Oryctolagus cuniculus: one gene and its partners. The protein of the gene in region 2 purifies or fractionates together with the protein of the main gene of each other region. This does not show direct contact. Links are inferred from orthologs where the notes say so. Each region holds a gene or a part of one and is shown on either strand. Other genes may lie near its edges. The genes, in order: SUCLG1, SUCLG2, HSCB and SDHA.

Region 1 (6,908 bases), on a different chromosome or scaffold from region 2:
GAGCTGGGTATAAAACTCAAGTGCTCCAACCTAGGATACAGGCATCTTAACAGCTGTACTATCACCTTGTTTGTGGTATTCTGTTCCAGCAGACTGGGCTAAAAGATCACCTGTCCTGCATCTGAATCCTATCCCTGCAACGAAGCCCCAGTAAGTTAGACAAGAGGTCTTCGGCCTTGCAGGAAGTTTGAGATGAAGTTACCAGTCAGAAACAAATGAAGTGCTTTCCTCCCTGGTAGGGGTGTCAGCCCAGGCTGCCCTAAACACAGCAAGAGGACAAGTTAAGAGTTTATGACAAGGCCAAGCTCCAGTTGAGGCCACCCTACAATGAGCACCCACACACACCTCAATATATATCCTACACAGGTACCCTGTAGCATGAGGTGTGGGGTAGGGGTCGTCATCTCTCTTTTGAAGAGGAAATGGCTACAAGCAGGAAGTAAGTTCCTCTGGACTCAAAGACAGTCACTGAGTCCCTTGGCCTGGGCAGAAGCTGCTGCACTATGCCTCGGTCTCTTGACACCTGCTCTTTGTACCTCAGCAGTGCCTGCGTATGGTCACGTAAGCTCCCAGAACATGTTTCCCTAGGCCTTCCCAGTCCACCTCCAACTCCTCCATGTGCACCTGGTGCTGCTTCATTTCTTCTCCCCCAGCCTTTGCACAGGCTGCTCCCCTTGCCTGGCCGACAGTCCTCCTTTCTGCATGGCTGGTACCCTTTCAGCCCCCTCCTCCCCAGGGATGACAATTCAGTCAGCCTTTCTTCATTTGGCATGACACCCAACAATATTTTCAGAAGCTCTTTGTTTCCTTCAAGGCAGTTACACAATTTAAAACTATGTGTCTCTCCCCACCCACATGTAAATTCCTAATGATAGGTACCCTCTCTTCGTGTTTAGGGACACTGGAACTGCTTCGTGTTAACAAGCTCCCTTTTAAACACAAATAAGGGTAGTCAATAGTCTTCCTGCTATCTTTCAGTGAACATCTTAAAAGCTCAATCAAAGAAGGTAGGCTCTGCAAAGGGTAGGGGATAGCTCTTTACAGAATCACTGATAAGTGCGGCATTAGTGAAGACTCCCCATTTCTCAACTGAAAACACAAGAGCTTCTATCTGCAATACACATGACAACCATAGACGTAGTGATGGTGGAGGCATGACAATTAAGTTCACCTTCTTCTGCGTCAGAAATTTACACATTTATTTCTAACCCTTCAAAGCACCCTGTAAAATGGAAATTATTATATATGATATAATTGATTCAAGACAACGAAGGTCATTCTGTCTAGATAATTAGACAAATGCCATAGTGAAGTATCAGCTTCATTCTCTTGAAACTTTTAGTCATAGGGGCTGGTGTTGTGGTACAGCAGGTTAAGCTGCTACTTGAGACACCACCAGAGTGCTGGTTTGAGTCCCAAATACTCTGCTTCCATTCCTCCTTCCTTTCCATAATGTGCCTGGGAAGGCAGCAGAAGATTTCCCAAGTATTTGGGCCCCTGTCATTGACATGGAAGATGATGCAGTTTGTAGCTTCTGGCTTAGGCCTGGCCCAGATCTTGCTGTTGCAGCCATTTGGGGAGTGAACCAACAGATGGAAGAGCTCGCACTCTCTCTCTGTCACTTTGCCTTTCAAGTAAATAAATAAATCTTTTTTAAAAAAAGTTTTAGTTACAATGTTCTCGTGTGTAATTCAGAGACCCCCCCACCCCAACACACACACACACACACACACACACACTCCTTTGTATCTCCCACTCTCCCCATAGTAGAATAACAAGTTTCCAAAACCATATTCAAATCAAGGTAGATTTATTGGCTGTCTCTGTTATACAATGAGGTGAAAACATCTCAATTTAGGACATTCAAAACCTTGCTTTGGCTTCCCATTGTAATGAAAGACCAACCCCAGGCACATAGGCTGACAATCAGTGGACAAGAGAAGCAAACTGCTGCTGGTTCACATGTCTATCATGATTCATTCCACAGTTTCAAGAAACTTTGGTTTGTTCTTTCATAGCATCTTCCTCTTTTCAAATTCCTTGAGAAAGAAAAAAGAGGGAGAATTGAGAGCAGATAAAAAGGTAAAAGATCCAAAGTACACTCATGGTCAAAATGATTCTAAAATCTATTATCTTTAGGATTCTTTGAACCAAATTACAGAAGTAAAATGTACCAGGAGAAGGGTACTTGAAGACAAAACAGCAGCTTTCAAATTAGTCTGTGTCAACTTGAATATAACTAAGCTAGACTCAGGGCTTCAACTTTATGTCTCCTAATCTCAGAAGCTGAGTGGAAGGCTCTAATTAATACTTTCTTCCTGCAATATCATTATTAGGAGTTGTTAAATCTCACTGTGCTTATGCAAACCTGTATACATGAACCCTAAACAGGTTTGCTTACATTCTCAGAGAATAAAACTACATACAGATTCAGTTAGAATCTGAACAAAATTCCAAGAACCTTAAAAATCCTCAAAACAAATATGTACCTTAAATCAAGTATTGTTTAAGGAAATAATACCAAAAATCATAATTTTCTAGACTTTAACAATTAGAACAAGACAAAATGTATAGATGTCTACTGCCCCTTACTGGATTAAAATGGTAACACATTTTCAATGTGAATTTAAGCATTTGCTTTTCATTCCTTTTCCCCTACTTTCAAATAAAATATTTCTTCACACACTACTAATCACCTAGATTTCTTTCAAACACATGGCACACAGTATGTTCAAAACAATATGAGAAGTTTCAATAAAATAAGGAGTCCATTTTATTATTCCTAAGATAAGAGCAAAGATGATTGTACCAAATCAGGATTTTAAAATTCTCACTGAATATTGTTTCCTTCTGGGACAACAAGCTGTGCCTATTTTCAAAATGCTTTAGAAGCAGGGTTGTTGTTTTGATCATATTTTTTTTTTTTTTTTTTTTTTGTCAAGGCTTCAACCATCATAAAAATAAGGAGAGTCTTAAAAGATCACTCCAGGGACGGTTTCCAGGGACCCAGTATGGGCCCACACTGGCCATTTGGGCCCCTGTTAGAGCTTACCTTGTAGATGGTAGTTCCCAGCTGTGCAGGAGACATGCTGACCACAACTCCTGCGCTCTGCAGGGCAGAGATCTTCTCTTTAGCTCCGCCTTTTCCTCCAGCAATAATTGCCCCTGCATGACCCATTCTTCTGCCGGGAGGAGCAGTTAAGCCAGCAATGAAGGACACTACAGGCTTGGCATTTGGACCCTGGAGATAAAGTGGCATTTCAAACACTCTTAAGAAGTTGATAAAAACTGGAACTCAAACCCATGACTCTGCTGGTAAATGGTAAATGGTAAATGTTAAATGGGTTGAACTAGGAATCCTAAAAAAAAAACAAAACAAAACAAATATCAGACTATGACTGAAACCCCTACAGCATTTGCCCCTGGAATGTTGCAACCTCCCACGCAAACCCAGGAAAACAAACCTAAGGAAACTTTTATATCTGGTGAATATTAAACTGCAGCTTCACTGGCACAATCCGTTTTACAAGCATGTCAATCTTTCATTTGAAAAACAAAAGAGCAAATCTGAAAACATGTGATATAAGACTTGGATTAATAATTACTTAACACACATCTGATTATTTTACTTCAACCTAATTTTGTGTCTTTATTCACTATTAGCTCAGCCTTAATAAATGTGCTAAAAAAAAAAAAAAAAAATGAGGCACAAAAGCATAAGGAAAAGACCCAGGACTCAGATTCAAATTTATTGACTAAAGCTGCATGACCTTGGACAAGGTACAAGCAGATCTCTGCTTCCTCATCTTTGGAAAGAAATGGCTGAATGAGATTAATGGAGAGCCTTTCCTACTCTGAATTTCTTGGTTTTAGTCAACAAAATTAACTGTAATATACAACCTTTTTGTAAAGAAATATCACTGTACTAGATTCTGAAGTTTCAAAAAATAGAGAAAAAAAGAATTTCTGTGCTCAGTATTATATAGTTGAAGAAATGTTAAATATGTATATATTATTAATCAGTTATGAGATACCAAAAAGCAATATATGAATCTATTGTGAAGTTGCACAATGAATGCTAATACTATGATTGTAATAGGAGTCCAGAGGTAATAATGAATACAAGTAAAGCAGAGAGGCCTGGAGAAGGCAGAACCTGAACAAAGTGTGTAGAATGTGAGAGCTTTGATTCAGGCACTATCATCTTCCCCTAGATCAGCAGCTCTCAAATCATTTGGTCTGGGGAATCCCTTACACTTATAAAGATTACTAAGGATCTGAAGGAGCTTTTGTTCATGCATAGATTATATCCGATATTTACTATATTAGAAATTAAATTTTATAAATTAGAAAACAAATTTTATAAATTTGTTAACTCATTTACAGATAACATCTTAAAACTATTTAATAAGAGTGGCATTTTAAAACTTACTTTTATAACTTTTGAATGTTTAATTTAATAAAAACAAAGAATATCTGCTGTTGTAGTCAATCTGTTATATTTTATTTTGGCTGAAGTATAAGAAGAAAATCTGATTTCATACAGATACACAGCTAGAAACATAAGTATTTTAATTGCCATTCAGATAACTGAGGATGTTCTTCTTGATACTACATGAACCTCTTCAAGTGGTAATTTCTCAAAGGTTAGATGCAATGTTGGAATCTGAAACCCATGGCAATAACTTCTTGTCCTCTGTTACTTTGAAATCCATTGGTCTTATACTTTGGATATTTTACCCATGATTTTGTAACATGCACTGGCAAACTGAAAAATATCAATTCATTGAGTAGATCTTCCAAATCTTGACAGATTTTATCATTCACTATCAACAAACCAGAGCCAACAGTATCACTGTCAACTCTAATTAGAAAAGTCATTAAATTGGGAGAAAACTGAGTTCAGGGTAGCAGATTCAAATTTTCCAAAACTTGACACCTCAAATTTTATCATTGGTAACAAATATTATCAGTTGTTTTCCTTGATATGACAGGTTCACATCATTCATTTCTTAGAAAAGTTCTATCAAACATCCAAGTCTGAATAACCACTCTGTCTGCCATCATTATTTCAAGCAAAACTGGTATCCATGAAAAAAGCATCTAAGTTACTTCAGCTTATAATTCTTAAGGCAAGAGAGCCTAACTTCCCATCTCATCACAAAATACTGACTTAATGGTCAAGACTTCATAAAATTAATAATTTTTATCAGGGTTTTTTGTTTTCTTACTGCAGGTACACAGCAGTAAATGATCCTAGTGTGATTCCACTGCTCTGATTTCATGCAGGCTGCTGCATGGTCTGACACTGATTACTCTAGCCTCGTCTCCTACTGTTGTTTTCTCCTTTTTATCTTCCATTAACCAGACTTCCCTACCTGTATGTGCCTCTGCTGAGAATCTTTTCTACTTTCCTGGATATCTAGACAATTTTTACTTTTTAAGACCTAGTTCAAGCTTCCTCTTCCCCATGAGCCTTTCCTGACTCTTCCTCCACACTCTGCACAAATGCCCTTATAGCTAATGATCTGATCTCTTTAGTGATCTTGCTGTCGTTTTACATGTTTCCACTATTACATTCAGTAAACTCTCTGTAACCTATTTCCCATGTGTTCCCCTACAAAACTAACATGGCGGGTGCCAGCACTGTGGTGTAGCAGGTAAAGCCACCACCTACAAGGACAGCATCCCATATAGGCATTGGTTCGAGTCCCAGCTGCTCTACTCCCAATCCAGCTCTCAGATATGGCCTAGGAAAGCAGTAGAAGGTGGCCCAAGTCCTTTAGCCCCTGCACCCATATGGGACCTGGGGAAGCTCCTGACTTCTGGCTTCAGATCTGCACCTCTCAGGCCGTTGCGGTCATTTGGGGAGTGAACCAGTGGATAGGAGACCCCCCTCTCTCTTTCTCTGTTTGCCTCTGCCTCTCTGTAACTCTGCCTTTCAAATAAATAAATAAATAAATCTTAAAAAAAAAAAAAAAGTGTTAACGTGGGGATTATGTTCTCATTCATTTCTGTATGTGCAGCATGTACTATAGTATCTGCAGTTTAGAAATAAAAAGAAGACCTCACAGTCATTGATTCCTTCACTCATGGCCTCTGCATATTATATGAGAATCTCATGTTTGAGTGGCTGCAAAGAAACAAAATTATGACAAGCCTAGCATGTCAAACAAATTTATGCTCTGTTCCACTGATGCAGAAGAATCATTGGCAGTTTTTTAAATGGAAAAAAATATAATTACACTATGGGAAAGTATAGCCTGAAAACAGGATATAAATAATGATAAGTTGAAAGTCCAAAAGCAGAAAGATCGGCAGAACAGTGTAAGGATAGTCGGAACATACACCCAGGAAGGACTGCTGGCTCTGTCCTGAACCCCTGCAATCTGCCTCCTGATCCTTTCACGATGTAATGGCAAAGTCAGGCGAGCTCTGGCATGAATCCCACCCCTGGGTCATGTGCTGCCGTCCTACCACTGGCAAGACATTAGCCTTCCGGTGCCAGTTCCCTATTCCTGAAGAAAGGACAAAAAAATCTTGCCCTACAGGTCAAAATAAAGATTAAACAACTTCTGCAAATAATTACTATCATTAACAGTAACAGTGTGGTAGCAGCAGGTAACATCTATCGAGTATCTGCTCCATGCCAGGTATCATGCCAAGTATTTTATATACTATGTAATCTGAACTGCTGAACCTAGAATCTTGTACTATAAAAAAAATTAGTCCAACTGGGATGAACCAGGAATAGGAAAACATGTGCCAAATTAAATAAAATTTCTATGTTTAGTTTTCCCAATAAATGTAAGCTATTCAAAAAGATTCAGAGTTGGGTCCAAATATACTTAAAATTCACTTTAACATAGTGAAAGTTCACATTAACTTAATTTTTTTTCCAAGAAGAA
Region 2 (7,551 bases):
TGAATTTCAAATAAATAAATAAGTGTTAAATAATAACAAACCCTTAAAAATTCCTTACCAGATAGGCTGGCGCCGCAGCTCACTAGGCTAATCCTCCGCCTTGCGGCACCAGCACACCGGGTTCTAGTCCCGGTCGGGGCACCGGATTCTGTCCCGGTTGCCCCTCTTCCACGCCAGCTCTCTGCTGTGGCCCGGGAGTGCAGTGGAGGATGGCCCAAGTGCTTGGGCCCTGCACCCCATGGGAGACCAGGAGAAGCACCTGGCTCCTGCCATCGGATCAGCGCGGTGCGCCGGCCGCGGCGGCCATTGGAGGGTGAACCAACGGCAAAGGAAGACCTTTCTCTCTGTCTCTCTCTCTCACTGTCCACTCTGCCTGTCAAAAAAGTAAAAAAAAAAAAAAAAAAAAAAAAAAACTCCTTACCAGAGCCCTGCAAGTCGCCACATGATTTGGCCTCTGTCCACCTCTCAGACCTCATCCTCTGCCACTTTCCCTCTAAGTGTCCAGACATCCTGAGCTCATTTCTACCTCAGTGCCTTCGCACCTGCTCTCTGCTGTGTCTAATACACTCTCTCCCTAACTCTCACCTGGCTGGCTGCTTTTCTCACTCAGGCCCTAACTCAAATGTCAAAAAAGGGTCATATGTAGGAACTCATAAATATACTATTGAATAATATTGTGCAGGTCTATGTATAATGTTTAATTCCACATAGACAATGTAAAAAAAAAAAAAAAAAAAAAAACACAACAACAACAACAAAACCAGTGTATGGTATAATTCCGGGATGGGTTATCCTTTGGGAGGCAGAGATAGTGAAGGGATCGAACACCAGGGGCCTCCAGGTTGCTGTTCAATGATTATTTTCATGACCTGGCTTTCATTGCTGGGGTATGTTTGGTTCACAAGAATCATTCAGCCGCTCACCTACAATATGCATATTTTTTTAGCATTTGTGCTATCATATTTTAATTTAAAAATTTAACAAAACCAAAAACACCACTCTGTCAAGTTCAGTTCCCCTATGCACTCACCCTGCAGTATGTAACAACTCACTTCACGGCCTGTCACTGGCTGGAGTCATTTTGCTCTCCCCTACCCCGTTAAATCATCACATGAACCTGGTTCAAGTTCTGCCTCTGGCTCCTGAGGTCCAGTTCCTGCTAATGCGGATCCTGGGAAATAGCACACGATGGCCCAAGTGGTTGGGTTCCCGCCACCACCTCAGAGACCCAGACTGAGCTCCTGGCTCCCAGCTTCAGCCTGGCCTAGCCCTCGCCATTGTGGGCATTTAGGGAGTGAACCAGCAGATAAACAAATGAACACTCAAAGGCTGCCTAACTCTTTCACCACCTCCAAATCTCAGGACCTGGAACAGTTCTGTCAGATGGCATGGGCTGAGTAAAAAAAAATATATATGTGTGTGTGTGTGTGTGTGTGTGTAAAAATAAAAAATGATTAAGGTGAATCCTTTAAAAATATAGCTGTCAAGACAGAGAAGAGCGGAAGCTGAAAGGCAAGAAGCACCATCATAACATTACACATCAGGAACATGTGGTATGCATCCATGTGACCACTGGGAGGGAATAAACCAAGTGTCATCCTATGTGTATCTCTGTGAGGCCAATTAGCTATTTCTCAAGGCAGAACCTGGGTCTTCTATCTCTGTATATGCAACGGCTTTTCACAAGTCCTGATAGAAAGTAGGTCTGGGCCAAGAGCAGACAGATTTCTGAGACACGTGGTGAGGATGCTCAGTGCTCAGTTTCCCAGGGAAAGTGGGCCATGTTCAAGGGTAATGTCTGCTATGGACAAGGGGCCAGGCAGGCCCAATATCAAATCAGACTTACACAGAGCAGAGATTAAGAAGCACCCAAGAATTTGAGAAGAGTTCCTTACACCCAAACGAGCAATACCTAATCTATTTTCATTGTCAATTCATAGATGTACATGAAGAAAGAAAGCAACAGTGTGCTCGTGACTTGGAGGTTCTATGGTCACTGCTGGTTATACAGATTAACTTCGATGTTGGCAAAACCCATTTTCCTAAGAGACCTACGCTCACCAGGCAACAGTCAGCTGCAATGGAAACTCACAAATAAACTTCACTCTGGAATCTGCTCTCCCACAGAAGCTCTGTAACCTTGAACACACAGGCCTTACGTCTGACACCCAGGAAGTGACGTGGTTGGACCAGATACTCACTAATTCCCATTTCCAGTTCTTGGACACTGCGTACAGTTCCTATCTTTAGAAAACCATTCTCATCTCCTAAGCCTTGTGTTTACAGGAATGCAAACCATGCACAGGAATGCAAACCAAAGTCATCAGCAGAGAAAGATAACCAAGTTTTTCATCCAGTCTTCTAGATAAACCAAGGACGTGTCTGCCCAACCACTCTCTCTTGAGTGTTGAGTTTAGGGTCTCATTGCTTAGCTAGGGAAGAAATACACGGAAGCTAAACATTCTGCATTTTAGGTTTCTCTGCACAATGATTACCTTCTCCAGTTCCTACTGCCCTGGGCTCTCTCTTCCTCATCAATTCAGTTCTATGCTGATAGTTAGCACTTTAGTTCTTGTGTTTTTTTTTTTTTTTTTTTTTTTTGTAACATTCAAATAATTAATAGGACTTGAGCACCTGGAGCTACTCTCCTTACTCTATTAAACAGTTATTAGTGATTTTAATTAGACAAAACCTGCATTCCTTTTGCTACCCCACCATACTGTCAAGTGCCTATTAAGGACATTACAGTAATAAGGATTAGCACCTTTTAAATTTACATTAACAATAACAGAGAAATGGTAAGTCAGGAAATGAGAGGGAAGGAAAAAAAAGAATCGCACAGATGTCATAATTAACCCAAGCTTTAGAGTAACTCAAAAATCATTAGGTGCTACTTTTTAATTTTTCTTTAAAGCTATACTACGCATATCCTGATTAAAATTGCATGAGTGATAATTTGCCAATTAAAAATGGGGAAATGGACAAGGTCGTTCTGCCTCGGCTGAGCCCCCAGAATGTCCTTTTTTTTTTTTTTTTCAAGGGGAGGGAGGTGACCTACAGACATCAAGGCGTTGAGGGATCCAGCGATTTCTCTGAGTCATTACCAACTCCAAAGTGCCCACGAAGCCCTTCTCGCTAATATGATGCATGCCCTCTGCAGAAGGTAAAACCCACTGAAGGCCAAGTTCACCCTGCAGCGCCCACCCCCGCCCTCCTTGTTCCATTCTCCATAAGTAAGGAGACCACCAAAGCCTTTCGCTGACAGGACTGATTTTCCTCTGAAAGCTGGGGGCGGACACGCCTTCCATTTCACTCCTTGTTGCATACTTTTCCCCCGACTCGGCCATCCTGAAAATTTGCCCCGCTGCAAGCTCCGAGCGGGAGGCGAGGCACCCACATGGAGCGGCTGCACGGGTCTCCCACGGGCGCGGCGGAGCTGAGACGGTTCCCACGCAGAGCCGAAAACGAAACCCTAGCGCTCCAAAACCCAGGCGGAGGAACTTTTCCTAAACTTGTATCCAGCGCCTGGGAGCGTGCCAGAAGCCGTCACCTCCAGAAGGGAAGCCACCTGCGTCAGCCACTCCGGAGAGAAGCGGCCACACTCGGGGAGGTTGTGGCAGGGACTGCCGTCCGCCCTGCAGCCCCACACCCGAGCCGAGGCCAGGGGGCCGGGGGCCGGGGTCCCTTTTACTCCCCGGGGCGCCGCACACCCGAAGTGCCGGGCCCGAACGGGCCAGCGGGGGAAGCACAGCACGAGGGGAGCCCTGGCGGGCGCCGCTACCCACGGCACCTGTCGCCGGGCCGCGCTCACCTGGGACCTGGGGGCCAGGAGCCGGGGCCGCAGCGCTAGGCGTCGCAGAAGTTTCCCGGCCTGGGCTGCCACGGGGGACGCCATCTTAAACAGGAAACCCGGCGCGGGCGAGCAGGGCTGAGCGCGGGCAGGGAGGCGGAGACGCAGGGGCGGGAGGAGGCGGGCCCGGCCGGCCCCCTGCGCCGGGGCGGCCCCCGGGACCCCGCTGCGCGCGCGCCTCAGGGGCAATGAGGCTCGCCGCGCCCTGCAGCGCCCTGCCAGCCGTCGGGGACCTGGCGGGCTTCTACCTGCGCTCTCCCTAGCCTTGAGAGCCCTGTGCTCTTGAGGCTTGGAATTAAACGCTGTCGCCAGACAAGGACAAAGGAGCGAATTGTTTGTGGCCAGGAGCGCTGTAAGGACACTGGCGCTGTTCCAGCCCTGGGTCCCTGGGGCTTGAGCTGGGCCTTGGAGCAGGAAAGAGACAGGTGGGGGGGGGGGGGTTCGCCATCTGAGCGGTGCAGTGAGTTTGGAGAGGTGAGTGGTGCTCTCTACTCCTTTTTTTATCCTAAGCTAAGATAGTGCAAAGCTGTCGACGCGTGTTAAGGCCGGAAATTACTGACTGAGAGCAGAGGTTGATTCGGACTTCGCCGAATGCTAAGCGCTTTACGTGTAACAAAAATGACCGCAGCCAACATGCTGAGTGTGTGCCAAGCCCTTCACAAATACGAACTCATTTAGTCTTCGTCGCCACGTTTAAGTGGTTACATAGGTAAAATCTCGGGTTGCACAAGGGGAAACTGAGTCGCAGAAGGCAGCTAGTCTGAAATCTAATAAAGGGTAGGTATAAGACCCAAATTCAGAAGCCCCCCTTTTAATTTATTTTATTTTTAGACCTATTTGGCTAGCTTATCCCTGATTTTTTTTTTTAAGATCTGTTTATTGGGCCGGCGCTGTGGCGCAGTGGGTTAACGCCCTGGCCTGCAGCGCCGGCATCCCAAATGGGCACCGGTTCGAGACCCGGCTGCTCCCGTTCCAATCCAGCTCTCTGCTATGGCCTGGGATAGCAGTAGAAGATGGCCCAAGTCCTTGGGCCCCTACATTCGCGTGGGAGACCCGGAAGAAGCTCCTGGCTTCCGCCTTCGGATCAGCGCAGCTCCAGCCATTGCGGCCATCTGAGGAGTGAACTAGCAGATGGAAGACCTTTCCTTCTGTCTCTCCCTCTTTCTGTAACTCTGTCTTTAAATAAATAAAAAGTAAATCTTAAAAAAAAATTGATTGATTGACTTAGTTGAATGGCAGAGAGAGAGAGAGGCAGAGGCAGAGAGACCTTCTATCTGCAGGTCCACTCCCCAGATGGCCGCAACTGGCTGTAGCTGTACCGGTCCAAATCCAGGAGAATCTTCTGGGTCTCCCATGCGGTTGCAAGGGCCCAAGTACTTGGGCCATCTTCTACTGCTTTCCCAAGCCATAGCAGAGAGCTGGATCAGAAGTGGAGCAGCTGGAACTCCACTCCCATATGGGACGCCAGCACTGCCTTACCTGCCCCACCACAGCACCAACTCCAGCCCCATCCCTTAAGCACTGATTGAATTTTTTTAACCTTGCTCATTTCTGAGTATATACTGGTGAGAAAAGATACAATGTAATAAAAGTTTTCTTCCCACTGCTTCTCACATTTTTATTTTTATGTAATTTCAGATTTACCAGAAAAAGTCACAATATTACCCCAAATGGCCAAATACCCTGTATCCACTCATTTTCTGTTCTCAATATAGAGGCGTAATTTTAGATGTATTGGAGCAGGTGTTTGGCCTAGTGGTGAAGATGCTAGGGCCAACTTTGTAGCGTAGTGGGTTGGGCCACCATCTGTGACACCGGCATCCCCTGGGGTGCCAGTTGGAGTCCTGGCTCTTCCACTTCCTATTCCGCTTCCTATTGAGCTCCCTGCTGATGTCACTGGGAAAAGCAATGGAATGTGTCCCAAGTGCTTGGGCCCCTGCTACCCACTTGGGAGACCTGGATGCAGCTCCTGGCCCCCGGCTTCAGCCTGGCCCAGCCCTGGCCATTGCAGCCATTTGAAGAGTGAACTAGAAGATGCAAGATGAATCAATCTCTCTCCCTCTCTTTGACTCTCTTTCTTCCTCTGTGTAATTCTGCCTTTCAAATAAAAATAAATAAATCTTTGAGATGCCAGCTTCCATATTGGGGTTCCCGAGTTTGATTCCCTGCTCCTGACTTCAAAATCCTACTAACAGAGACCCTGGAAGGCAGCAGTGATGGCTCAAGTAATTTGCTCCCTGCCACCCACAAAGGAGACCTGGATTAAGTTCCCAACTTGTGGCTTTGGCTCCAGCCAACCCTGCCCATTTCAGACATTCGGAGAGTGAACCAGCAGATGGGGGGGGGGGGGTAATGGGGGGAGATGGACATGCTGGCTTACTTTCTATCTTTCCTCCAATAAATGTTTAAGAGTTCAGTATGAACACCTTCTAGATCAGACAGATGGACAGATTATAGCCCCTTCCTAGTCAAAATTTTACCCAGTAAATTTAGCATTCCTCAGTGGTTACTGTTTGAGTCATGTATTACTATGATGATTGCAAAATGGCACCTAACTCTGCATTCCGCATTTACTAGTTGCTCTTCTCCTCTGAGAAAAGCTGAACCTTCACCCCATTCCTTTATTCTTTTTCTCACTGTTTCAAGAGCTGTTTACTCAGTGGCCAAACTGTGCTCTTTCCTTCTGTGTACACTCGGCTGCCTTTGGGTATGTCGTTGAGTCCTCGCAGCCAGCCTGTGAGAGTGGTCATGTCGTTATTCCTGTGTTTGCCTTGGAGATAACCGGATCACACCCAGCAACATCTACCTGACTCCAACAGCCTGCGTCTTTCCCAAGCTGGGATCAGATTGTGGAAGGCTGGAATCTCACCAGTCTGCAGCCCACCCTCCTTGTGAGATGAATGTATTTGTCTTTCCATCTCACTGTTACCCCTCCTGTGTCTACCATCTGGTCAGGGTGGAGCAAGGAACTCTGGTAGTGTTTGCAGAGTGAATGTTCAAACTTGTTAACAGCTTTGAACACCGTTGCCGGCAGGAGGAAGGCCACCTATGGACCTCATCAAAGGCCACGTACTCACACATTGCAATGCTCCCCAAGTCCATCACTATCGCTTGCCTTCCAACAGAGTCTTGAAGGGGTTTGGAGGGACAGTTTGTCTCACGGGGATAAAGGAGAGACTGTTAAAAGACAGCCTTTGATTGATGAGTATTGGAACTGGGTTGGCGGAGGCTTTCTGGTTGGTGTTCAAGTACATCTGGCGGTTCTGAGTACATTCACTGCTCGTGAATAATTGGCAACTTTCCTGAATGGATAGGGTCATAGAGTTTTCCTGTCACAGTTGGAGGACTGCCGCGTCCTCAGCCCTGGAGCCCAGATCTTTGTCCAGAAGCTCTCATTCTGCATTCTCTGCAGCCAGAGGGTGGAGGAGAAGGGGCAGGAGGAAGGGGAAGTAACCTTTCAGGTAGGATCTCCGGGCGCTGGGCATGGATTACAGGAAGGAAGATAAACATGAGGAATGAACTGCCCTTAGTGAGTCCTCCTAAGATTTCTCCCCATTTCCTTTTTGGTTTTTGTTCTTCCAAATAGGAAGCTCTTCAAGGGCAGGAAACTGGATTCTACACAGATTTCTGTCCTGTGCTTTTTGAAGATCCTGTCCGTCAAACAGATAGGATAAACTTGATTAGATTAGGCCGGTGCCTTG
Region 3 (7,472 bases), on a different chromosome or scaffold from region 2:
AATTGGATTTGGAGTCCAGGCACTCCAGTATGGGATATGGGCATCCTGTCACCTTAACCATTGCACCAAATGCCAGCCCCTGACTTTTTTCAATTATAAACAAGTGAGTGACTCTCCCAAGAATGTTGTTTCTTGGGATTTTTTTAAGATCAGAATTTTCTGTTTGGTATTTAATCCCCACTGATCCAGAGACTTAAAATAAGCAGACTCCCCTCCCCCACATTTTTGTTTTTTTCTTTCTGGAAATAGATCAAGACCTTAAACTGAATTTCCAAAGATCCAGAATGGGAAATAAAAGCTGCTTTGAGCTGATTTAGAAGAACATGGAGGGGCTGGTGCTGTGGTGCAGCGGGTTAACGCCCCGGCATGAAGTGCCGGCATCCAATATAGGCGTCGGTTTTAGTCCCGGCTGCTCCGCTTCCGATCCAGCTCTCTGCTGTTGCGGCTGCTCCACTTCTGATCCAGCTCTCTGCTGTGGCCTGGGATAGCAGTGGAGGATGGCCCAAGTCCTTGGGCCCCTGCACCCATGTGGGAGACCTGGAAGAAGCTCCTGGCTCCTGATTGGCACAGTTCTGGCCGTTGCGGCCATCTGGGGAGTGAACCAGAGCATGGAAGACTCTCTCTTCTGCTTCTCCTCTCTGTGTAACTCTCTCAAGTAAAAATTAAATAAATCTTTAAAAAGAAAAAAAGAACATGGAAATAGTGATGAGTGTCCACTATCCAGAGAGTAATTAAGGCCCCCCCCCCCCCTTTCACCAAGGTAGGGCAGAACCCATGGTGTGTAATACTATGCTCATTCTTGGGCATGTTATCTTCAGTTTGCAATGTAGGCCAAAGCCACCATCAGATGGATTTGCTTGTTATCAAACACAATGTCCCAAGCCACAGTAACAAAGAGGATTATTTATATAAGTGAAGGTCACACCATTAGACAGAAGTTGTGGTTCTTGGGCAGTAGTTGGCAAACTCACGGCCACATCTGACCCACCACCTGTTTCATAAATAAAGTTTGATTGGAACACAGCCCTGTCTACTTGCTTACATATTGTCCACGGTTGCTTTTGTGTTACAGGAGTAGCAGTGACTAGTTATAACAGAGGCCGTATGACGACAAAGTCTGAAATATTTACTATCTGGTCCTTCGGAGAAAATGTTTCTGAATCCCTCCTTATATTATGGGCCCATGTATCTTAATCTTTATTCCAGGTTCCTGCCCCCACAGAGGTAATAATTCAAAGCAGAGGCACAGCACAGTGCACAAGTGACAGAAGGATTTGCTCAAGAGAGTATACATTCACCTGTGAGTGAAAGGGGGCACCCCCTTCCCATTATGATCTCCTTTATGAGGTCGGGGTGGTGCCCTAATTGAATAAACAAACAGGGTAAAATTTAGCGTTTGCAAGCTTTCTGTTGGTTGCATGGCACCTCCACATGGAGTTTAACTTCCACGTGGGCTTCATGCCATCTCCTCTTCCTGGTCCCAGATGAGATGCAGGTGCATCAAGGGAAAGTGGATGCACTGATTGACAGGAAAGGGGGTAGAGTTACAGTGCAGGCCTGGCAGAAATGCCAACCATTCCTGCCCAGTTCCCCCACAGCTCCTTACTTTAAAAGACCGCTCAGTCCCATTCCCAGCTCCCCATCTACTGGCCTAGGCAGGGGCAAGCTGTTCTCAAACATCAGGTGAAGAACCGCCACTCAAGCTCTGACAAGGCTGTTTTCCTCTGGTGTGAAAAATGTTGCCATCCATTCATGCTTGAACCACAGGTTTAAGTAAGATATAAACAGGTGGCCGGCGCCGCGGCTCACTAGGCTAATCCTCCGCCTTGTGGTGCCGGCACACCGGGTTCTAGTCCCGGTCGGGGCACCGGATTCTGTCCCGGTTGCCCCTCTTCCAGGCCAGCTCTCTGCTGTGGCCAGGGAGTGCAGTGGAAGATGGCCCAAGTGCTTGGGCCCTGCACCCCATGGGAGACCAGGATAAGTACCTGGCTCCTGCCATCGGATCGGCGCAGTGTGCCGGCCACAGTGCGCCGGCCGCGGCAGCCATTGGAGGGTGAACCAACGGCAAAGGAAGACCTTTCTCTCTGTCTCTCTCTCTCTCACTGTCCACTCTGCCTTTCAAAAAAAAAAAAAAAATAAATAAATAAAAAAAAAATAACATATAAACAGGTAAACTGTATTATTAACAGGAGCCAGAAAAGAAATATATAAGAACTTTATTTTTAAAGCCTTAAATTAGCAACAATTAGAGGGGAATCTTCTTTAACTTGAGCTTTTCTTCAACATTTGAAAAGTATCTCATCTTTGTTAAAATTTCCTTGGCCTTTTCAAAGTCATCTGAAATAAACAAGAGATACTGATGTAAGGTTTCATTTCAAGAACCAGAGCTGGCCACCAAGGCAGTCTGATCAAAGCTAAGCACTGGCTCGAGGGTGCATCAATTACTCAGTAAATAAATCCGAGCAACAGAGAGGGAGAACATCTAGATTGCTCAAAGGGATTAACCAAAAGGGGGAAGATTATGGTTGTTTACAGAATTCAGATAAATGAGAGAAGAGAAAAGCTGATTCTCTTCAAGACGGGGCCAAGTAACCAATGGGTTGTATTTTAAAAGTTTTCCCCCTGGGGCCAGCCTTGTGGCGAGTAGATTAAGCCACCGCCTGTGATGTGGGTATCCTATATGAGTGACGCCTGTGATGTGGGTATCCTATATGAGTGACGGTTGGAGTCCTGGCTGCTCTACTTCCAATCCAGATCCTGGCTAATGTGCCTAAGAAGACGGTGGAGGATGGCTCCTGCCATCCCTGTGGGAGGCCCGGATGGAGTCCCTGGCTCCTGGATATGGCCTGGCTCAGCCCTGGCTGTTGCTGCCATTTGAGGAGTGAACCAGCAGATAAAGATCTCTCTCTTTCTTTCTGTAGCTTTGTCTTTCAAATCAATAAAGTAAATCTTGGAAAAAAAAAGTTTTCCCCTAACACATGTAGAGGAATAACAATGAAAAGGATGTGGACCCCCAGAGTGCTTCCTCTATGCCTCCTGCCGAAGCACGAGCTGCCCTCAGAGGCTTCCAGGCTGTAGGAATGATGCCTCTCAACAAGTGATTCTGCCCTGAAGGGGGTGTCTGGCAGTGTTTGGAGATGCTTTTGGTTGCTGCAACTGGGGAAGTGGTGCTGACATCTACAGTGCACAGGACAGCCTCCCACAGCAAAGAATGTTCTGGATCAGGGGCGAGCACTTAGTGCAGCAGTTAAGATGCTGCTTGGGATGCCTGTAGCCTGTATCAGTGCTTCCATTTGAGTCCTGGCTGTACTTGATTCCAGCTTCCTGCTAATGGCCAAGAACCTGGAACTCAATCAGGGTCTCCCACATAGTGGCAGGGACTCAATTATTTGAACCATCATCTCTGTCTCCCAGAGTGTGTATTAGCAGAAAGCTAGAATTGGGATCAGACCTGGGACTCAAACCCAGGCACTCTGATTTGGGATGTGGGGCATCCCAGGTGGTGGTTTAACTGTTGCACCAAATGCTCACCCCAATCTCTGTCCTTTAACTGGTACATTAAGCTGACACTCAAAGCGATTCTTGCTATAGCTAGATTAAAATCTACCATATTTGTTACTGTTTCCTAATTGCTGCTCTTATTCGTTGTTCCTATTTTTGCCTTCCACTCTTTCTACCTTTTAAAGTTTCCATTTAACATTGTTTTCTAAAGATTTATTTATTTATTTGAAGGGCAGCGTGACAGAGAAAGACCAGGGGAGAAATAGAGAAAGATTTCCATTTCCTGGTTCACTCCCCAAGTAGCTACAACAGCCGGAGCTGGACCAGGCTGAAGCCAGGAGCCAGGAGCTCCATCTGGGTCTCCCATGTGGATGGCAGGGCCATCTGTTGCTTTCTTCCCAAATGCAGAGAACTGGGTCAGAGTGGAGTAGCTGGGATGCAAAGTGGCCCTCAGATGTGGGATGCCAGTGCCTCAAGCAGAGGCTTAACCTGCTGTGCTGCAACATAAGCCCCCATCAGCGAACATTTTATGATTCCATTCTCTCTCAGCATATCAGTTACACTTTTTAAGACCATTTTTAGTTATTGCCCTATAGTCAGCAAGATGTACACTGACAAATGTTCCAAGTATATGTCTGAGTAACGTTATACTGCTTCATGGTAGTGAATCCTATACTTTCCATCCCCCTTGTATCAGAGGTGTCCTTCATTTCATTTCTGCATAAACCTACCTAAGCATACTGTTGCTATTACTATTTTGAACAAACTGTTATCTGTTAGTTCAATTAAGAATCAGAGGGGTGGTTAAGATACTGGTTAGAATGTCAACATCCTATATTGGAGTGCCTAGGTTTGAGTCCTGTCTCTACTTCCAATTCCAACTTCTTCCTGCCAATGTACACCTTGGGAGGCAGCAGGTGATGGCTCAAGCACTCGAGTCTCTGCCACCCATCTGGGAGACCAGGTTAAGTTCCTGGCTCCTGGCTGTTACTGGCATTTAGGGAGTGAAGCAACGGATAGGTGTTCTATTTCTTTCTCTGACTTTTGAATAAATAAAATAAGCCAAAAATTAAAAAAAAGGAAAATTAGTTTTTACTTCCATCAATGTTTTTCTGAAAAATCTATTTCTCTTTTATTTTGAAGGATAATTTTGTAGAATACAAAGTTCTAGGTGAGTGTACTTCTCTCAATACTTTTAAGTATTTTACTCTACGTAACTCACCTTATCTTCTCGTACAAGTAGAATAGAAGCACTTTCTCCTGTATGTTTAACTGGCATAGCACTGATTCTGGTATACAGTTTGTTTCTCCAGCAAGACTATTACTTCTTACAAGTACCAAGTGCTAACTGACTATGCCACTGGAGCAAGACTATCAACTCTTAAAGGTAGAAATGTAGATTAATAAATATTGGCTGGTGCCGCGGCTCACTTGGCTAATCCTCCACCTGTGGCGCCGGCACCCCGGGTTCTAGTCCCGGTTGGGGCGCCGTATTCTGTCCCGGTTGCTCCCCTTCCAGTCCAGTTCTCTGTTGTCACCCGGGAAGGCAGTGGAGGATGGCCCAAGTGCTTGGGACCTGAACCTGCACAGGAGACCAGGAGGAAGCACTTGGCTCCTGGCTTCGGATCGGCGCAGTGTGCCGGCCATAGCACCCTTTTGGGGGGGCGAACCAATGGAAAAAAGGAAGACCTTTCTCTCTGTCTTTCTTTCTAACTCCGCCTGTCAAAAAATTTTTTAAAAAATAAAAATAAAAAAATAAAAATAAAAAATAAAGATTAATAAATATTTTGCTTCTCTCCCTATATCCATTATAGGAAGAGTATATAAAAGCTATTTAGTGAATGAATGCTTTTTGCCTCAATGCTTATGATTTCTTTACATATATATAAAGTCAGCAACCGAAGAAAATACCTTGTTCAAAAGCTTTGCCCACATTGTCAGTAAGTTCTTTCTGTTTAGCTGAAAGAGAAAACCATTACCTTAGTTCTTTTATTAAAACAGACTCACAGTTTGAAGATAACACTTTGGAATCATGCTGATTTGCACAGAAAGCAGGGAGCTTGGATTCAAAGTTAAGGTTTCATAACCTTTGTTGTACATATACCATGACAGTAGGCACTATTTAGTGTAGCTTGCATGACCCTCTTTTTTTTTTTCTTTCTTCTTTTTTTTTTTAAAAGATTTATTTAAAAAAAGAGGAAAGACAACAGAAAGAGAGAGAGAGATGTCTTCCATCTGCTGGTTCACTCCCTGGCCAAAGCCAGGAGCCAGGAGCCTCTTCCAGGTCTCTGATATGGATGTAGGAGCCCAGGGACCTGGCTCGTCCTCTGCTTCCCTCCCAGGCACATTAACAGGGAGCTGAATTGGAAGTGGAGCAGCTGGGACTTGAACCAGCACCCATATGATACTGGCACTGCGGGCTGTGGCTTTAACCTGTTGTGCTACAGCACCCAGTGGGCAATCCTCATTACACTGTTTTTCTACCCCTGCCAGGTCCAAAGGAAATCACCAATGCTCATAAAATGACTATAGAATCATTAAAAAGAAAAAAAAAAAGACAAGGATATACCTTGATGTTCTCCACAGTCTGAGTCTTCCAGCATTCAGTGGGGACCACCTATCAGCCAGGCTATTACCAAGTGTTTTAGGCAACCACTTGCTAATTATAGGAAAAGGAACACATCCATGTCATACTGTGTTAAAAGAGAAGATGGCAAATGAGATGAGAGAGAAGAATCTTATTTTTCTGATGTTTCCTCACTTTACAGAAAGTGTGTTTTCCATTGTAAATAGCATCAATCACTTATTTACTGCCTTCTTTCAAAGCACTTTGAAATCTATTCTATGGGACTGGCATTATGATACAGCATCTGTGACGCGGGAGTCCCGTGTGAGCGCTGGTTGGATTCCGGCTGCTCCCTCCCTGCTACTATGCCTGGGGAGCAGAGGAAGATGGCCCTAGTGTTTGGGCCCCTGCCACCTGCATGGCTGGAGACCAGGATGGAGTCCAGGTTGGATTTCTCGGCTCTCAGTTTCAGCCTGATCCAGCTCCCGCTGTTGCAGCTATTTGGGGAATGAACCAGTGGATGGAAGCATTCTCTCTCTCTTTTTCCCTGTCTGCGAATCTGCCCCATGGGCACATGGGTAGTGAGTGGGCAGCCAGGAACAGCATCCAAGTCACCTGTCCTTGCCCAGGGTTTGAGAAGAGCCTCTCAGGTGGCAATGCCGTGTCAATGAAAGAGCACTAGGAGCCTGGAGGCTCTGCAGGCTGAGCCCAAAACTAACTCTGTGCCCTGTGCATTCACTTTGCCTGGGCCTTACGCGCACCTGGAGGGGACAGCATTTAGGAATTAATCCAAAGTGATGGTTGGTGATCTGCTCAAAGTCAAACGTCGTGACTGGGCCAGGCTAAGTGTTTCATGTTTCACTCATTTAATTGAATCCTTGCAACAACCATGACAAATTGTCCTTTTTTTTTTTTAATTTAAAGATTTATTTTATTTATTTGAAAGACAGAGTTACAGACAAAGGTAGAGACAGAGAGAGAGGTCTTCCATCTGCTGGCTCACTCTGGGATGCTGGTGCTTCAGGCCAGGGTTTTAACCCACTGTGCCACAGTGCTGGCCCCAAATTGTCCCCCTTTCACAGGTGGGAAACATGAGGTCTAGAGGGGTGAAGTTATTTGCTCAAGTCACATAAAAAATCAGTAGCACTACTGGGACTGAACCCCAGCCCACCACCCCCTGATGTTTCTGGAGGCCGTCTCTCAGAGCAGAGTCGATGGGGCCTTCTGCCTGCACACTGCTCCTCGCCCTGCCCCACCCAGCCCTCACGTCCAGCTGACAGTCCCTCACCACCACTTCCGTTTTATCTCTTTTCATGTTCATTAATTAACTCATTTAATACATACTGAGTTCCTACTATACTTCACGTACTATTCTATGAGCAGAGGGTGTGAGAGAAGCGAAAAG
Region 4 (7,504 bases), on a different chromosome or scaffold from region 2:
TAAAGTTACATGAAAAAGAACAAGGAAATCTAGCTAAGATATAACTAAAAGAAATACTTGGACCTAAGTATTTCTTTTAGTTATATCTTGTTTTCTTGTTTAACAGCACAAAAGTTCAGATGACGAGGGCAGACAAGCAGCACAGAAGGCCAAGTCGAGGCTTGTGACAGCTGTATTCCACATCTGAGTGCCTGGGAAGCTTGAGTTCTTGATTTTCTGCCACCCACTTGGGAGATCCGGATGGAGTCCTTGGCTCCTGGCTTCAGCCTGGCCCAGCCCTGGCTATTGCAACTATCTGGACAGTGAACCAACAGATGAGTGCAAGATCTCTCTCCCTCCCTCTGTCACTCTGTTTTACAAATAAATCTTAAAAAAAAAAAAAAAAAATAGTTCAGATGCCTGAATTAGGAAGACGGGAGATAAAAATGACAAGAGTAGAGATGTTAACAGCCCAGCCTCAACCTAGCAAGGTAGGGAGCCTTCCCTTAATACATCCATAACCATGAACAGGAAGCCAATTCGTAAGCACAATCCTTACAATTACAAACGCAGCCAACAGAGGACCTAAAAATGGTTGTATGGGGCCAGCATCGTGGTTCAACAGGTAAAGCGACCGTCTGCATCACCCATATGGGTGGCGGTTCATGTCCCAGCTGCTCCACTTCCAACCCAGCTCTTTGCTGATAGCCTGGGACAAGCATGGACGATGGCCCAAGTCCTGCTACCCAGGTGGGAAACCCAGAAGTTCCTAGCTCCTGGCTTCTGCCTGGCTTCACCCTGGCCGTTTCACTCCACTACTTGTGGAATGAACCAGTGGATGGAAGATCTCTCTCTTCTCTGTAACTCTGTCAAATAAATAAATTTTTTAAAAAATGGTTGCATAACTATTGGGAGGGCACAGGAACAGGGAGTAGGTGGAATAAGTGTTTTACCAAACAAGAATTGATGTCTCAACTGACAAAAAATACACCCACATTCAGCTAGAGACTGCAGGTAAATAGCATGGCCAAAATTATAAGCAATTCAGAACTACTCCCACTAGTGGGTGGGGAGCAGCCCACTTCTTTATACCTACAAGGCCCTCTTATTGCCTTCTTTTTTGACAGGCAGAGTGGACAGTGAGAGAGAGACAGAGAGAAAGGTCTTCCTTTGCCGTTGGTTCACCCTCCAATGGCCGCCACAGCCGGCGCGCTGCGGCCAGCGCACCGCGCTGATCTGATGGCAGGAGCCAGGTACTCATCCTGGTCTCCCGTGGGGTGCAGGGCCCAAGCACTTGGGCCATCCTCCACTGCACTCCTTGGCCACAGCAGAGAGCTGGCCTGGAAGAGGGGCAACCGGGACAGAATTCGGCGCCCCGACCGGGACTAGAACGCGGTATGCCGGTGCCGCAAGGTGGAGGATTAGCCTAGTGAGCCGCGGCGCTGGCCTCCTCTTATTGCTTTTTAGAAACTGTAACTGGGACCAGCGCTGTGGTGTAGTGGGTAAAGCCGCCAGCAGTGCCCGCATCCCCTATGGGTGCCACTCAAGTCCGGGCTGCTCCACTTCTGGTCCAGCTTCTGCCATGGCCTAAGACAGCAGCAGCAGCAGAGCCCCTGCACCCACGTGGGAGACCTGGAAGAAGCTCCAGGCTCCTGGCTTCAGATCGGCCCAGCTCCAGCCACTGTGGCCATTTAGGGAGTGAACCAGTGGATGGAAGACCTCTCTCTCTCTCTCTCTCTCTCTGCCTTTCAAATAAATAAATAAATAAGTCTTTTTAAAAACTGTGTAATTATTTTCATTATGTATTTAAATGTTAATTTTTTAGTGAAGGATGATTAAAATACAGTGCACATTGTCCTGGGCATAGCTGTGAGTCATGAACCACGGGAGTCAAAGGTCACCTCACAGAACTCCACTAACCCATTCAGAACCTTAAGGTCAGAGTCAGCCTGGTGGCTCAGCATCTCGTAGTTTCCCCACTACCTAAGGACCCTTGGGGAAAGCCTCTGAGATACTCCAAACTAAGACTAAAATCCAGGTTAACACCACAACCAAGCCACTTTTCAAATGAACCAGGAAAGACATATGTAGAATACAGAACTGAATATCATTTATATAATGATCCAAAAAGCAAAACCAAAGGCTATTCCTATACAGACCTAAATAATTCCAGATACACCATTAAAATGTATTCAGATCAATACATTAAAAAAAAGATTTATCTGAGAGTCAGAGTTATACAGAGAGGGATCTTCTACCTGCTGGTTCATTCCCCAGATGGTTGCAAAGGCAGGCACTGGGCCAGGATGAAGCCAGGAGCCAGGAGCCTCTTCCAGGTCTCCCATGTGGGTAGCAGGGGCCTAAGCACTTGGGCTATCTGCTGTTTGTACCAGACCATTAGCAGGGACTGGATCTGAAGTGTAGCAGTCGGGACACAAACCAGCGCCCAGGTGGGATGTCAAGTGTTGAAGGCTGTGACTTTACCCTCTGTACCACAACGTTGGCCCCAGATCAATCCATTTAAGAAAAGAAGTTAGCTTATCCTAGGACAGTTTTTTGGGTGTTCATCCTAAGAGTTTTGAAACACTTCATTGGAAGCAAGCAATTAAATATTTCAGGTCCATCGTTTTACTTTCCTCTTGGAATAAATTGCTTCAGAACGGTTAAAAGAAAGGCAAAAAATTAGTAACTTGAAAGCAGCCATAATGACAGAATGGCTTGAAAACACAAAACTGATAAAAAGGAGATAAATTACCTATTCATTTTTCTGAAATTATCCTCAACACCTACTTTTAAAAAAATATGTATTTATTTGAACGGCAGAGAGGTCTTCCACCCACTGGTTCACTCCCCAGCTGGGCCGGTCCGAAGCCAGGAGCCTCCTCCAGGCACAGGTGCAGGGGCCCACGGACCTGGCCCATCCTCCACTGCTTTCCCAGGCCACAGCAGAGCTGGATCGGAAGAGCAGCAGCCGGACTCCAACAGGCGCCCATATGGGATGCCGGCGGCTTTACCGCTAGGCCACACCACCGGCCCCAACATCGACTTTATAGTCAATTCTCAGCTAACTATCCTAAAATTGCCTTTTTTCTCTTTTAATTTGACTCTCATTTTCCTTGGTAAACTCCAGTTCTTCAGGAAATGAGCCAACCTTAAGTGCAATACACTGCTTGAGGGCACAATTTCTGGAGGAAGAGCGCCATCCTCACGAGAAGGCCCAGACCCCCTCTTCGCGCAGGCCTGCGTGCGGTTCCGTGCTGCTCCTCCTGGCCCTCTGGTTTGCAAGCAGCCAGCCGCACGAGAGCGCGTTCCGCCGGCTCCAGCCTCGCCGCGACGGGAGGAAAGGCAGGCCAGCGCGGCTTCCCCGGACACCCACTGCGGCCCGCAGAAGGGGCCCCGGCCCCCTCCGGTGGGCGCATTCAGTCACCGCCTGCGGGCCCTCTCGCGACGGCTGAGCCCCGGGCCTGTCAAGCCCCGCAGGGGCCTTGGCGACTCGCAGGGGCACTGGCGAGCGCACTGAAACTGAGGGAACAAGCAGCGAAGCACCCGCGTCCGGCCAAGCAAGACGCCGGAGCCGCGGCCGGAGAGGGCGCCCGGACAGACGCGCGGCGGCAGCCGCGGCCGCTCCTGCGCGAGCCCCGCGCTTCTCCGGCGCCCGGGTAGGATCACGTCCGCCCCGCAGCCGCGCCTTCGCCTCCGGGGTCCCCGCCCGCCACGTCCAGAGCCAGGGGCCAGGGCAGCAGCGACCTTGGCCTCTAACGGGTCGTGACCTTCACCGGGACAAGCCGTCCACTGCACCCCGCTCGGGAGCGCCGCGCTCCCACCACCGCTGCCTCGGCCCTGCCGGTCCCCGGCGCCGACTCACCGCCCGGGTCAGCGCCAAACGCCGCGCCAACAGCAGCCGCGACACCACTCGGACCCCAGCCATGACGGCCCAACGCTGTCCCGCCAGCCCCCGCGCAGGACGCGTCTGCGCAAACGCCACATCCGGGGCGGGGACGACGGGAAGTTCCGCGCCTGCGCACATGTCGCCTCCGGGATCGGCGGGTGGCAGCCTGCGCCTGCGCACTGGCCGGGGGCCGGCGGCGCTGAGGGGGCCAGGAGGTCCGGGGGCCAGGAGGTCTGGGCGCCCGCAGCGCAGGTGGGTGCGGCTCTGGTCAGGGCGGGCTTGAGCGGTATTTCTTTAAAAGCCGGGCTGGCAGGGCTGAGCGGTGGTGAGGAGCGAGCCGCTGCGGCGTGGGGACCCTGCGCCGTCCGGCCTGTGCTGGGCGCCGCGACTCCCAGGTTCGCGGCCGCAGGTGCAGGACCCTGGGGCGGCTCCGCGCGGGAGCCTCTGTGTGGGTCCCTCGGCGACTCCGAGTCTACAACTGGAAGGTTCTGGTTTTCCTAATATGCGCGTTCATGTAAGATAGTTGAAGTCTTTTCTCAAATAATTGTGGTGCCTGCGTTTTCATTGGATTAGTAATATGTTTTGCATTATTTTGGGGAAAATAACTTAATTCTTGTTAAATTTACAACAATGCCTGTTTTATTTCTGCTGTTAGTAAGTAAGGCCAAAGAAACTGTGCGTGGCGCTTACTTTCCTGGGGGCGTCCCTGGGCCGTCTGCGCCGGCGGTGGGCTTCGTGGGTGCGGAGGGAAGGTACAGGGACACGGCCACCGCAGACAAGATAGGAAGAAGGAGCTCACCCGCCCCGCACGAACACTTTTTCTGTTGGTAAACCATGGAGTGCGGTAGCTGTTTGCACTGCGTTATCAGCAAGCAGAGCGCAGGCGTCTGGGAGGTGTGTGGGGAACAGCCCGCGCCACCCGTTCGAGCTCACGCAGGCCGACTGTGCCTCCTAGGGAGTCCTGCAGGTTGAGTACTTTCTAAATTAGGTACCTGCCTAATTGTTAGAGCCTGTGATTGCCACATACTCCACCAGTATCAACTTCTGAGCCATGTTTTTTGCATCTATCATTATTGTCTATCATAATTTTGTCAATTTAGATATTAAGTGTTTATTGCAAAGCTGTTAAAATTGTCACAAAACTTGAGTTTCTCGTTTCGTATGTGACCCGTGAGTAACTGTTTAGTAAGCGGGTGTTTGTGGTGGTGGCTCGTGAAGCAGGCTGAAAGCTCTCGTGGCTGCTGTGTGAGTGCCCAGCCCGGGTCTGGAGGGCACTCCGCACCTGCAGCAGGCTCTCTGTGGTCTTCTGCAGTCACTGTCCCCGTGTAAGCACGGAAAGTCCCCAGCGCTGTCCCTGTCTTCCCCACGCAGGAGGCCACAGCCCTGGATGCGCCACTGATGGTGTCCCCGGCGTCCCCGCTCGGTCCCGCCTCCCTCGCGTGGTGTCCACGGCGTCCCCACTCAGCCCTCCTCCCTCGCGTGGTGTCCCCGGCGTCCCCACTCGGTCCCGCCTCCCTCGCGTGGTGTCCCCGGCGTCCCCGCTCTGTCCCGCCTCCCTCGCGTGGTGTCCCCGGCGTCCCCACTCGGTCCCGCCTCCCTCGCGTGGTGTCCCTGGCGTCCCCACTCGGCCCTCCTCCCTTGTGGTGTCCACAGCGTCCCCACTTGGTCCTGCCTCCCTCACATTCTCTGCTGGGAAGACCTTATCCTTGTCTGGCTCCTACCGATGTGTAGCTCATTCTTCACAGCGTATCAATATGAGCAGTGTGAGCCCATTGTTGAGTTGATTATAGATACATTTGGAAGTGTATTAGGGTTCTCCAGAGAGACAACCCATAGAATATATGAGTGTATTTACAGAGGCAGTTGAGAGAGTTCATGGAAAATATGTGTGATGAAAAGCTGTGCATGGACTGATTTCAAAATGTTTGCACCAAACGTTTTCCATGACCTTTTCGAAGTGTTCTCGTTTACATGTGTACGGCGTGCATGTATGTGTAGATGCCGTGTATGTATGTATGTGCACACACTGTGCATATATATACACTTGGAATGTTTGATTTATTGTGAGGAATTGTTTGGAGGATTCAATGCTAGTCTGATCCAGGAATGCCCTCACAAACACAGCCTGACATGTTTAGCAAATGTCAGCATTTGTGGCTCAGTCAAGTTGAAATGTAAAGTTTACCACAACAACCGTGGTGGGATGAGAGAAGGCCATGCCAGCAGTTACTCACCAATGGCTTTGAAACCCACCTGGCAACAGGCTGTGATTGGTTAGGGCATAAACTGCCCCTTTGACCGGATTGGCCGCCTTGGCTATTTAATCTGCTGCAGCAACTGAAATAAACGAGCCTGCAGGCTGCTTGCCTCTGGCCTGCTTTCACCGGACTCCAGGGGTCTGTGTGGTGACTCCGTGCCTCTTGCCCCCACCACGCTCCTCCTCAGAACGAATCCACAGCAACATCTGGCGCCCAAGGTGACAGAGCGTGTCAGACTTGGCGAGGTCCCCCCTTGATTTCGGCAAATAGGCCCCTTGGTGTTTTGTGTGCTGTTTAGTTCTGTGAGGGTGAGCACAGAACCCCCTCCCACGCCCCTTTCCTTGTCCTTGTCCTCAGTTGAAGTGACCCCAGGTTAGTCAACACCGCCCAGAAGCATACGCCACTTCTCGGCTCCTCCTTTTACTTTCGGTTCACTCGGCAAATTCAGATCATCCCAGAATTCTGAACCAGTCATCTTCCCTCACTCAAGAGAGGTGACGCTCTGGAGCTACCATGTGGGCATACAGCCTTGACCTAACGAATCAAGGAAATCCCCCACTAGGCACAGGACATACTTATGATCTGACACACCACTGTCTATTTGTCTAACGTAGGGAACCCCTGCAGAATGCCATCAGCCGCTGAGGTGCTAGGAATTTGTTTTGTTATGGCAGCAGTGCTGTGCGTGTCTTCCCTTTGGCTAGAGTTGGCATGGCGTGCCGCTCTTAAGCGCTCAGAGATGGGAAAGATACCCCCTCTCAGAAACCCACACAGAGTGACAAACATGATGAATCAGTGAGTGATGAGAGCCTGTCACTCCAGGTCCCTGTCTCACAGACATCAGTTGATGACTTGGGGAGAGAGAGCTCTAACAGTGAAACAGCAGACAACGCAGCAATGCCTGGTCAGCCACCCCCCAAATATCTGTGGGATGAACTTAGACGACCTCAAGGCAATAACCCATGCGAGGTCATCCCATCCACACCCAGTGAGGATCCCCATGTTTGTGGCAGTCCCCAGGCACCCCAGGCTCTCAGGGCAGCTGCTAGACCCCATCCCACCCGCATGTTTGCCGTTAATATAGGAGCGGATGCAGAATTCAGGCCCTGGATTCCAACACCTGTAACAAGGCTCCTGCTAACCAAGGGCCGAGGGTATGCTTGTATCTTTCCAGAGGATGCGGGACAGCCCATTTGGGTACCAGCCAGAAACATCAAGCCTGCAACTGACAGTCAACCAGGACCAGCTGAACAAGACTGAGAGTCCACCTTGTTAGCAGACGCACCTGCCCTATCATCCTGCCCTGAGAAATTGCCCACAGCCACATCTGCTACTGTTTTATACCCCACTAGCTCTGGTCAGCCGCTCAGATGGCCCA

The links.
Region 1: the proteins of SUCLG2 (region 2) and SUCLG1 fractionate together in Homo sapiens (co-fractionation; 6 studies listed by BioGRID and IntAct, counting the BioPlex papers as one, with this or other methods). This does not show direct contact. The link is inferred for Oryctolagus cuniculus from reciprocal best matches to the Homo sapiens genes SUCLG2 and SUCLG1.
Region 3: the proteins of SUCLG2 (region 2) and HSCB purify together in Homo sapiens (affinity purification with mass spectrometry; 3 studies listed by BioGRID and IntAct, with this or other methods). This does not show direct contact. The link is inferred for Oryctolagus cuniculus from reciprocal best matches to the Homo sapiens genes SUCLG2 and HSCB.
Region 4: the proteins of SUCLG2 (region 2) and SDHA fractionate together in Homo sapiens (co-fractionation; 3 studies listed by BioGRID, with this or other methods). This does not show direct contact. The link is inferred for Oryctolagus cuniculus from reciprocal best matches to the Homo sapiens genes SUCLG2 and SDHA.

Annotation. Positions count from the first base shown.
Region 1 is NC_091433.1:118,194,864-118,201,771, reverse strand, and holds the end of SUCLG1 (succinate--CoA ligase [ADP/GDP-forming] subunit alpha, mitochondrial), read right to left. Parts: intron 3,242-6,908; coding exon 3,053-3,241; intron 2,040-3,052; coding exon 2,013-2,039; 3' UTR 1,794-2,012; downstream 1-1,793. UniProt on the Homo sapiens protein: Succinyl-CoA synthetase functions in the citric acid cycle (TCA), coupling the hydrolysis of succinyl-CoA to the synthesis of either ATP or GTP and thus represents the only step of substrate-level phosphorylation in the TCA.
Region 2 is NC_091441.1:81,881,508-81,889,058, reverse strand, and holds the start of SUCLG2 (succinate--CoA ligase [GDP-forming] subunit beta, mitochondrial), read right to left. Parts: upstream 3,977-7,551; 5' UTR 3,896-3,976; coding exon 3,812-3,895; intron 1-3,811. UniProt on the Homo sapiens protein: GTP-specific succinyl-CoA synthetase functions in the citric acid cycle (TCA), coupling the hydrolysis of succinyl-CoA to the synthesis of GTP and thus represents the only step of substrate-level phosphorylation in the TCA.
Region 3 is NC_091452.1:22,187,772-22,195,243, reverse strand, and holds the end of HSCB (iron-sulfur cluster co-chaperone protein HscB), read right to left. Parts: intron 6,195-7,472; exon of another isoform or gene 6,161-6,194; coding exon of another isoform or gene 6,105-6,160; exon of another isoform or gene 6,071-6,104; intron 5,461-6,070; coding exon 5,413-5,460; intron 2,338-5,412; coding exon 2,246-2,337; 3' UTR 2,201-2,245; downstream 1-2,200.
Region 4 is NC_091445.1:97,558,050-97,565,553, forward strand, and holds the start of SDHA (succinate dehydrogenase [ubiquinone] flavoprotein subunit, mitochondrial), read right to left. Parts: upstream 4,011-7,504; 5' UTR 4,007-4,010; coding exon 3,845-4,006; intron 1-3,844. UniProt on the Homo sapiens protein: Flavoprotein (FP) subunit of succinate dehydrogenase (SDH) that is involved in complex II of the mitochondrial electron transport chain and is responsible for transferring electrons from succinate to ubiquinone (coenzyme Q).